Neurospora crassa OR74A: one gene and its partner. The protein of the gene in region 1 purifies or fractionates together with the protein of each later gene. This does not show direct contact. Links are inferred from orthologs where the notes say so. Each region holds a gene or a part of one and is shown in the gene's direction. Other genes may lie near its edges.

Region 1 (4,781 bases):
CACAGACAGAGTAGATCTGGGGCGCGTCCTCTCCCGTCAGATTCGCAACCTTGCAGTCGACCTGAGGGTTCATCGAATCAATGCTCTCAACCAGGACCAGATTTTCAAGTGGCCTGGGGTGGAAGTACACCGGGTTATATGAGGCGGTAGGGTCTGTCGGGAAGTCGTCGCTGCTGAACTCGAGCTCCTCGTCATCGTCTCCGAGCTTTTCAAATTGGTAAAAGTGATGGTTTCCAAACTCGCTAGCGGCGAACAGGAAGCCGCTCTTCAGGATGCAAAGACTAGTGGCTACTGGTATCGTGTCGAAGTACTTGATCTTGAGGCGCTTGACCTCTCCGGTGGGGTTGCCGTCACTATCTTCGATCATGTCAATGGTGACTTTGAAGAGATCTCCATCGTCCGTCTGAAGAAGGAAGAAAAAGGCGCCCGCGCTTCCCTTGAGCTTGTGCATAACGCCAGAGACGATAACCCGCTTCCTCTGAGGATCTTCGGTGGCACCGCTGCGTCTAGGGATGGGGACGCGGAAAGCCTCTTGATTCGAGTGCCGATAGGTGACATTTTCCTCGCCGCACACCAAGACACCGCTGGGACCGTCATTGCCGCCGGGTACTTGGAAGAGAAGTGAAGAAGTGCGATCGACAGTATCTGACCACTTGCGTACAACGTGGTTCAGGCCCAGATCAAGCTCGTAATATACCAGCTGTGTCTCGACTTCTTCTCGTGCTTGGCCCGTAGGATCTTGGTCCGCGTCCGTGTAGTCCAGTTCCAACGCAGCGAAAACGGGGTTTGCGTAACCAACGTCAAGGGCAACAAGAGACAGCACCAACACGCCTGGCTTGTGGGCTTCCAGTGGTGACGAGATGGTAAGCTCGGCCTGTGAGTTTCGGTTGAGAACATAGACCAGCTTGTTCTTTTCGAGTGCCGAAATGAGGCATGCTCTTCCCTTTGGATCTGCGGCTAAGTACTGGCCGGGGATGACTCGGCGGACGCCCGATTTGCCGAAAGTCTCGAGGTGGATGCGCTGAAACTTGTTCGTCTTGGGGAGATACTCGATAATCGTAATGCGGCCCGAATCAGTGGCGAGGATAATGTAGTCTGGGTGGCACAGGGTTTTAGCACAATCCCGCTACCGATTTGAATGAGTCTCTCAAGTCCCCAGAAGACTCGTAGGCCTGGGTGCATGGTGCGTGACCATACGTGTGGCCCCTCTACCCAGAAGCACCTGGGGAACGGATCCAGAATCACTATATTGCCCAACACAGGAGGTGGCGGGGAGGTTACTCACCCTTGTGGCTGCCGGCCAGACGGAACGACGCGATGGCGCGTACGATGCCGAAGATGTCATGAGACAACAGGGTGTTGACCTTGCCCTGACGGGGATCAGGCTGAAGGAGGGTTAGACGCGATCCAGACGCCGTAAGAATCTGCTGTTCCTTGGTTCCCGAGAACTGACCAAGCAGAGCCTGCGTGACAGCGGTGGGTGGCTGGATGGTCAAGGAATACAGGAACATGTTCGACGTAGTCGCCATGGCTGCAACTGGGCGCAGACAGCCGGCGCGGCTCTGCTTTCTCGAGGTTGTTTTTGCAAGTGGGTAGGACTCGGTTGTGCTCTGTCAATGCTGCCGTCGTTATGTTGAGAAGACCAATGCGCGAAAGTCAGCCAGATTGTCGAAAATCTAGAGTTGAATATCGAGTAGATGATTGTAACACGGCAAAAAAAAATGAAACACGGTCCAGTGTTCTGGCACTCTGGCGAGGTAGATGGAGTCGGTTGCCGTCGATGGTATTTCTGGCCAATTGGTGCAGTCCAGTCACTCAGGTTGCAGCGGTACGTCGGACTCGGTCCACGGTAGGTCGTAGACGCCGCCCACTCATCTTCCCGCCTCGCGACTGTGGCTTGCTCGTAGCTCTCTGACCCGCATACGTAACGTCAGACGGAGCTTACCTAGGCACAATTGTGGCTGGTGAAGCAAGAACAAAGTGGGTCATTCGATGGACGGGACCCGCCTAGGCACTTAGGCACAGTAGAGGTAGGTAGCGAGTCGGGTCGGTGGGAGAGGACCCCGGATTGCTGGGAGCTGCTGCCAAAAAGTCAATTGGAAAGTCGCATCGAGTCCCGGCGATCCAGATTCCCGATCGAACATCATCCGACCTCTTGAACTCCCAATGGCCCTCCCAGCAGACCGCGCCGTGCGTCCGGCCTTGTCCAAGCTTTGCTCGCAATGCTCGACTTTCACAGCTAGACAGAGCAGGCAAAGTGCTGCGTTTTTGCAGTCAGCCCAGCAACGCTCCGTCAGCTCCATCCGAGGGGCACAGAGCTCTTCCTCGTCTTCGACGCAAGTCGGCGGCATCACCAGAACCATTTCGCGTCCGATCCAGGCTTCGATCACAAGCAAGCTTCCTTCCGTTGCTGCCCAGTCCAGAACCAAGGCCAGCAGCTCGACATCGTTTGCCACCAACGAGGATCTGGCCGGTAGTGGTATCCCCTCGAAGCCGATTCTCGAGCAGGACAACCTCTTCCACTCCTTCACCAACTCGCCCATCCCCAAGATCCGCCAGCGCGCGGCCTTCATAAGACAGCACGCCAGCTGCCCCCACCATAGCCACCGCCCAGGGCAGTTCTCCGAGACCAACCGCCAAGTCGATACCGAGTCTGGCTCCCAGCCGCCGAAGCACGTCGATTTCGAGTGCCCTGACTGTGGCATCCCGGTATATTGCAGCGAGCAGCATTGGATGGACGACTATGAGAAACATCTCGAGATATGCGACACTCTGCGGCAGATCAATGAAGATGACCATGACCTCCATTCAGGCCGCCACTTCTACGAGTTCAACTACGCCGGTCCGCAAATGGATGATGCCATGGTCAACATGACCAACTGGGACACGTTCATGTATACCCGTCAGTTCGAAGCTGTCAACGATGACCGGTGCATGAGACAGGCGACTAGGTTGTTGACCTATCCTCTCACGATCGGCAGCGTTCTTCACGAGTTGAGCCCGTACCACATCCGGAATCGCCTCACGGTCGAGGGCTTAAAGAGTTTGACGGCACTTCGCTATACCCTGCATCCTCCCAAAACTGGAGGCAACGAGTCTATCAAGGGTCTTCGGCCTGAGGCGCCCCCCGTGCGTGTCTTTATTCTCGGTGCTCGCGCTGAGTCGTCGCTGCCTAGAGATGCTTGGGTGCAGTTGGCCCATCTCTTCCCCCTGTCGAGACTCCATCTGATTTTCATCGGACCCGAGAGCATGATGAACCGCGATGACGAATTTCCCCTCCCGCCTCGTACTCCCGAGAATCCTTACGGTGCGGTTGTGGAGGATCGCGTATGGCCTACCATGAAGATCAGCACCATTGTGGATTATTACCATACTATCCACAAGACGGGTTATTTCGCTCCTCACGATCCTTACTTCGACTGCTTCGTCCTCTTCCACCCTGGTTTGGGCCACCCGGCAAGCTCCCACGAATGGGAGGAAACGCTGCCTATGCTTCTCGAGACCAAAGCTCCTATCATTGCTACGGGCTACACGCAGGCTGACATGGAGCGTGATGTCGAGTGGGTCAACAAGAAGGCCAAGGGTGAATTCGACATTCTCATGGAGCCTGGCGAGAACATCTTCCGCAGTCTCCGGTGGGATCTGAATGATCTTGACCCTCAGGACGTCAGTGCCGGTAACTGGGGTGTGTGGGCCTTCCGCGGAAAGAGGTTGGTGCTCTCTTGATTTTTTTCCCCCGCACAACTAGATACGGTTCGAGAGCTAACAGAGTTTGTTTTAGGTACGAGGCTACCGTCAAAGACAACGTCATTGCTGTATAGATGAGCCATGCGTATGCTGGTCGTTGCATCCTGTAAGATGTAGTAGGTGTTGGCAACCGGGCTGTTAGGAGCCCAGACTGTATAATAGGAATATCGAACAAACGCATTGTCACGACCATATCGGCTTTTTACACTTCAAGACTTTGTGGTATCTTTTCCGTTTCTAACGGTACGGGCTGGATGTTACGGATGTCGGATCCAAGGTGTGTGTTCAAAATCTTTTGGACTGCACAGTCTGATAATCTCGTAGTTGTGGGCCTAGGGAGGCACTGATCTGCAACGGTCAGGCTCGGGCCGCATGCAGCAAGTGCCTTGTGTCACGGCAGTCTGCTGTGGCAAGGGTGATGACAGCTTGAGCCTCATCGACGACAGACGGTTTTTTTTTTTCAAGCACTTTTTGTCCGTCTCACGCAACACCTTGCACCGCGCAGTAAATTTCGGTCAACGTTTGTCAAGCGAAGTGCAACGATAACAAACTTCAGGCGTGGAGATTCCTAACCTGCCAGCAGCAGTGTGTATCCTTGGTAAGAAACGAAAACTACCCACATGCTGGAAGATGACTCGCACCGACTTGACTAGAGTTAAAGGAATTTAAAAGCGGTCGAGGATGCGGTGCCGCCTTAGCTGCGTAAGTCAAAGGTGTGTGCTTTGTTGACATTCATTCAGGGGAAGCTCGACGACTTCAAGGGGTGATCGGTTCCATGCTACGGGCAACGACCATGCTTGGTCTTGGCTAACCTCACCGCCTACCCGTTTCGGACAGGTATTGGCTGATAAGCGGCAGGGTGCTTCCTTATCACCTGGGCTACTGCCGCTGTTGGCTGGGGTCGCCGGCCATCCACCACAGGTGCGGGACAGGCGTGGACGGAACACAAGACCGGACCACTCGCTACCTATCAACATGCACCCAGCACCACCTGTTCACCAACCACTGCACCGCGCAACACGCACAATCACACC
Region 2 (5,154 bases), on another chromosome or scaffold:
CTGTTGAAGAGAAGGCTGGTTTGTTGAATGCGCAGGAGCCCGAGGCTGAGGTTGAGGCGCCCCCGGCTTATGAGGATGCCAAGGTTGCTGAGGAGGGGGAGGTCAAGAAGTGAAGATTGACTCGACTCGAGTGTTCGGCATGCCGTTCCGAAACAACAGGATGAGAGGAAGTCAGGAAGGAAATCAGGAAGGAAGTCAGGAAGGGAGAAAGGATGATACCATACGTGAGATACCATACGATTTGTGGCAGCGGAAGGCTGAGATGGATGGTCAAGCTACACCAGATTGTCACGCACATTAAGCAAATAACTGACTAGGTACGCTCCTTGGGCAAATACCATTTCAACTTGTTTTACACAGAAACTGTTAGCAGACATATATGTCTGACCACTGCTAGCTCGCTTGGGTTGATGGGTGATACTATTGTCATGATGTTATTGTGCTGCTAGTAAGGTAAGATCATCATCTTTCGCTGAGCCTGTCTCTCTACCCTTGCCAGGGCGGCGGAAAAAAACAACAACAAAAAGTGCTAATGCGGTTGCCCGTAATCCAATTCTCTGCCTTGTCCACTCCTCGTTCTTCCCAATGATGAAACTGAAACCCCATATTCTGTTCGTCGCGCAATGCCAAATCCGTTGGTCTGTTGGTTAAGTAGTTACCTAATTACACGCCAACTTCTTCTCCAGTCGACGAAGCCATGCGAGTTTCTGTCTGTCCCCTTCCTTACACCATCCCCTGCCCCCTCTCAGTTCTAGCCCTTCTCCACCTTCTCGCCCACGCCGCAAGACCCTGGAGGGGAACTTTGATCATGACTTCGTATGCATCCTTCCAACCAAGTTCTTCTGGCTCTTCTTCCTCTTCTGGCTGTTTGTCGGTAGAGGTGGTGGTTATGAACTGTTGCTTTTGGCAGAGGTAGTTGAGCCTGTCGATGTCGAGCCCGGTTTCGAGCTCGGGGAGAAGGTTGAAGTTGATTGTGGCTGTGCGTGTTGGATTGAGGAGGTTGGGGGTGTTGTTGTTGTTGTTGTTGTTGTTGTTGATATTGTTGGAGGGGGTTGAGGAGTTGTTGGTGAGGAAGTTGGTTGCGTTGGCAGTAGATGATGGAGACACTGGCGGCAGTGTAGTAGTAGTTCTGGCTGTGGTAGGTTGAGCCGTAGCGGGAAGTGGAAGGCCGATGGCGTGTTGCCCTTGATGATCGGGTGCGGAGGAGGCGTAGCTCGACAGGGTGCTGAGGCTGCCAGCCCCTGGAGAAGACATCTTGGGCGTTTCTTGAGTCGAGCAGCTCTGTACTTATGGATGTGGTATATAGTACCGAGTATTTGATAGTGTTGTTGATGTCAAGTAAAACGAAGGAGGGCAGGCTACTAGAGGTTGGGCGGATCGATGTTGGGTTAGGTTTGTGATTACCTAGGTAGCGAGCGGGAAGCAGAAGATGGAAAGTGCACTTTCTTTCGAGCCTGAAGTGGTTTCCTTAGTTTTCAAGTGGTTTGAGAAAGCAGTAAGAAGTCTTGCTTTGATACACACGAGCGGGTTACCTCTTAGGTATGAAGCCCCAAAACGGGGCCTGCTCTATGCCCGTGAAGAAGCACCTGGAAGTATTTATTATTATTTCTTTTTTTTTTTATCTTCCGGACCTGGCCTGCCTTACCTTGTTTTGAAGCTGCATTCAGGTGCTTCACTGCGAAATCAGGAGGGGTGGCTAATCATCAGCACAGCCCCAGAAGCAAGGCTTCCACTTTACATTCAAATCAGCAAACGAATCTGAAGACTAGAGTTGTACACCACCGACAGTCCCAAGTAACACACAGCCTGGTGAATCTCACATCTATGGACCATCAAGGTGTTTGTCGTCCGTCTTCAAAATGACCCCCACGGTCCCTTAGCAACCATCCATCACTTACACGACCCCTGGTGCCAAGCATTGGTGGGGCGGCGCTCAGGAACTGCACCCAGCGGCCCCGGCCATTCGGATGGAAACGCCCCACACCCACACCCACCACCACCAGCGGCAGCGGGGCATCGCCCAGAATTGGACTTTGATCGGAGCAAAACAGCAGCTCCACCGAGAACTTTCCTGTGTCCGGCAAATGACGAAGTTTGTCCGCATCTTTCCCCAGCTCCATTTTCGTCACATGCCGCTGTTTATGGTTGCTCGTTGTTGTTGTTGTCGTTGTTAGCAGCAGCCTCCGATTCGTTCTCTCAGTCACCACCACATAACTACCTACAGTACCTATCTACCTCTTCGGCCGATCGATCAACCGACCGACGAAACGAACGAACGGACAATGGCGGCCAGCGGGAGCATATTCCAGTGCCTCCTGCGCACGTCGCAACAGAGCTTGGGAAAGAGGATAATCCTCCAAAGACAAACAGCAGCAGCCCACGCAGCAGCTGCGACGCGATTCACGACAGCTAGACTCGGCAGAAACCCTGCCTCTAGTCCCCGCCGCCAATTCACCACCTCGTCCACACGCCGACAGACTCAACAACCCGGCGATGATCCCAACTTTACTTCCATCCTCGATAACCCTCCCGAGCTTGTGCGGACCGGCAGGAGACATGGCAAGGGGTTGATTATCCTGGGTATGTCCTGATTGAGTCCCAACCATCTACAATCTCAGCATGCGCTATGCAGCCGTAACACTGACTAACGCATTTACCTCCTCCTCCTCCTCCTCCTCCCCACAGCCATCATCCCCATCACTGCCCTCTTTCTCGGAACCTGGCAAGTCTACCGACTAAAATGGAAGACGGACCTGATCGCCAAATGCGAGGACCGCATCATCCGGGACCCTCTCCCCCTTCCCCCCCGCGTGGACCCGGCCGCCATCGCCGACTTCGACTACCGCCGCGTCTACGCCGAGGGCGTCTACCGACACGACCAAGAGATGCTGATCGGCCCGCGCATGCGCGACGGCGAACAAGGGTACATGGTTGTTACGCCCCTGGAGAGGGGAGATGATCCGAGCTCCAAGGTGTTGGTCAACAGAGGGTGGGTGAGTAAGAAGTTTGCGGACCAGAGGAGCAGGCCGGATTCCGTCAAGCAGGGCGAAAAGGTCCGTGTGGAGGGCATGCTGAGAGAGCCGTGGAAGAAGAATATGTTCACGCCGGACAACAGGCCGGATATTGGCGAGTTTTATTTCCCGGATGTGAAGCAGATGGCCGAGTTGACGGGCAGTCAGCCGGTGTGGATTGAGCAGACTATTGGTGGGTATCTCTGTTTTCTTCTCTGCCAGTTTTGGACGTGGCTGGCCTGGCCTGCGTCCTATAATGGTATGATGGCTATTCTAGCTAGGTATGGTACTAACGTATGTTTGTGCGCAGTTCCCGATATTATCACCGTCTATGACTACGAGGCGCGTGGTATCCCTATCGGTAGAGTCGCCGAGGTCAACCTTCGCAACAACCATGCGCAGTACATCTTTACTTGGTATGTTCTTAAGCGATGCTTCACCTCCTTCCAATTCTTGACGTACCCCTGCGGTATCGCATATCAGTGCCCGACTAACTGGTACTTAGGTACGGTCTCGCTGCTGCCACCTCCATCATGTTCTGGCTCGTGGTCAAGAAGCCTGCGAACCAGATTACCAAGCGCGTTCGCATGAACAAGAGCTGGTAAACATGAGTTTGTGAGTGGGCAGTGATAGCTTTGCTTTGTCACACATCAATGGTAACAAACACTCTCACGTCACCTCTTCGTCTTCGCCGCCAACCCCAGCACGGCTAGAAGAGGCAGCCTTTCGGCGCTTCTTGACCGGAACAGGCGGCGTCATCCTCAGTTCCTGGAGGAGCTCTCTGGGAAGGTATCGTTGCGCCAAGGCAAACGGCGTGGTTTGTGCGTTGGTTTGACGTTGTCTATGGAAACAAAAATGTAAGTCAGTCCGTCGTGTACAATAGCTCGAAAAAAGTGTACAAAGAACACTACACAGGATATAAACAATCGGATACCCAGGGATCAAAGCAAAAGCGCCAAAACATACCTCTTCATCAATGTAAGCATATCACTCATATCGATAGTTTTGCGATGGGCGTGCTTTGCGTACGCCGACAAGTCATCTCCCAACTGCTCAAAGAACCAGTCCGAAGCCTGCATGATTGCCTTGAGCGCCTCAGGCGAGATGTTTCCCTTCGCGCCGCTCGTCTTGGCGAATGTTTGCGCCAGCCGCTTGATCATGGCCGGAGGTAATGATGTGTACTCGATGCCGTGTTTGGAGATCTTTTTGGTGGCTTTGATCTTGGAGAAGCCCCCTCGTTCACCACCCTCTTCCCGAAACAATCCGAGTTTCTCCCGCGCCGCCGAAGCTGAAAGTGATACCCTCGCCGCCGTTGGTGTGTAGCCTGATAATCTCGTCATCTCCTCATCCGAGCCTGCCTGGCCCTGGTCGTCTTGGTTGTTATCCAGATCCATGGCCATACCGTCGTCGTTATCATAATCGTCGTATGCTGGTCCAACATCATTTCCGTCATCGTCATTGTTGTCGTAACTGTCGCTCCTCTGGTCCATCAACTCCGCGAAACCTCCACCTTGGCCGCTTGTTGCCGCCGCTTCAGCAGCTTGACCCATCTCAAACTGCCTCGTAGGCGAAGCAATCATAAACGTGCTCTCGTCCATCCCCACCGGCACCTCAATGTGGAAATCACTATCCCTCCCTCCAGCTCCCAGCAGCAGCCCCATCCCTCCTTCCCCACCTATCGTCTCCCGTCTCCTCGTCTCGTCCGAGTCCAGCCTGCTAAACTCATCCGGTATCCTATCCTCGGCATTTCCAAAGTCGTCCTCATCAATTGCAGCAGGCGGAAAGAACCCCGAATCGATCCCATCACTCTGTTGTTGTTGTTGCTGTAGCTGCGGGAAATCACTCAACCGCCCCATCGAATCCCTCATCCTTTGTTGATCCTTCTCCGGATCCACCCGTCTCGGCAACTCGATACTCTGCACCGTAAAGTTCTCCGTCAGATCTTCGAGTCCTGCACTCCGATGTGGTTGCGGCAGTTCATCATCATCTTCCCAATCATCGCCCTCCCCATCCCCCACCCCTAAGCCCAAGCTGAGTCTCGGCCTCTTAGGCAACTCCTCCTCCTCGTCGTCCTCATCTCCATACCTACTCCGCGTGGATATGTCAAAGGTCAACTCCTCCGACGTGTCCCCCTCCTCTTGCT

The links. Proteins that work in one complex are often made in the same cells at the same time.
Region 2: the proteins of NCU00395 (region 1) and NCU02162 purify together in Saccharomyces cerevisiae (affinity purification with western blotting; 6 studies listed by BioGRID, with this or other methods). This does not show direct contact. The link is inferred for Neurospora crassa OR74A from reciprocal best matches to the Saccharomyces cerevisiae genes MSS51 and SHY1.

What each region holds. Positions count from the first base shown.
Region 1 is NC_026503.1:3,705,528-3,710,308, reverse strand, and holds NCU00395 (mRNA processing protein), read left to right. Parts: upstream 1-2,033; 5' UTR 2,034-2,166; coding exon 2,167-3,710; intron 3,711-3,781; coding exon 3,782-3,821; 3' UTR 3,822-4,021; downstream 4,022-4,781. Other genes in the region: NCU00396 (pre-mRNA-splicing factor rse-1), read right to left, coding at 1-1,095, 1,286-1,529. UniProt on the Saccharomyces cerevisiae protein: Has a dual role in the assembly of cytochrome oxidase subunit 1 (COX1). It has a regulative function on COX1 synthesis, acting as a translational activator specific for the COX1 mRNA, and it also binds to newly synthesized COX1 protein.
Region 2 is NC_026501.1:1,040,394-1,045,547, forward strand, and holds the start of NCU02162 (SURF-family protein), read left to right. Parts: upstream 1-1,853; 5' UTR 1,854-2,282; coding exon 2,283-2,580; intron 2,581-2,685; coding exon 2,686-3,204; exon of another isoform or gene 3,205-3,321; coding exon 3,322-3,427; exon of another isoform or gene 3,428-3,516; coding exon 3,517-3,616; 3' UTR 3,617-3,680; coding exon of another isoform or gene 3,681-3,852; 3' UTR 3,853-3,977; coding exon of another isoform or gene 3,978-5,154. Other genes in the region: NCU02164 (hypothetical protein), read left to right, coding at 1-113; NCU02163 (hypothetical protein), read right to left, coding at 724-1,254; CEN-T, read right to left, coding at 3,681-3,852, 3,978-5,154. UniProt on the Saccharomyces cerevisiae protein: Required for efficient assembly of cytochrome c oxidase in the mitochondrial inner membrane. Involved in a step that couples MSS51-COX14-dependent regulation of COX1 translation to early steps of cytochrome c oxidase assembly.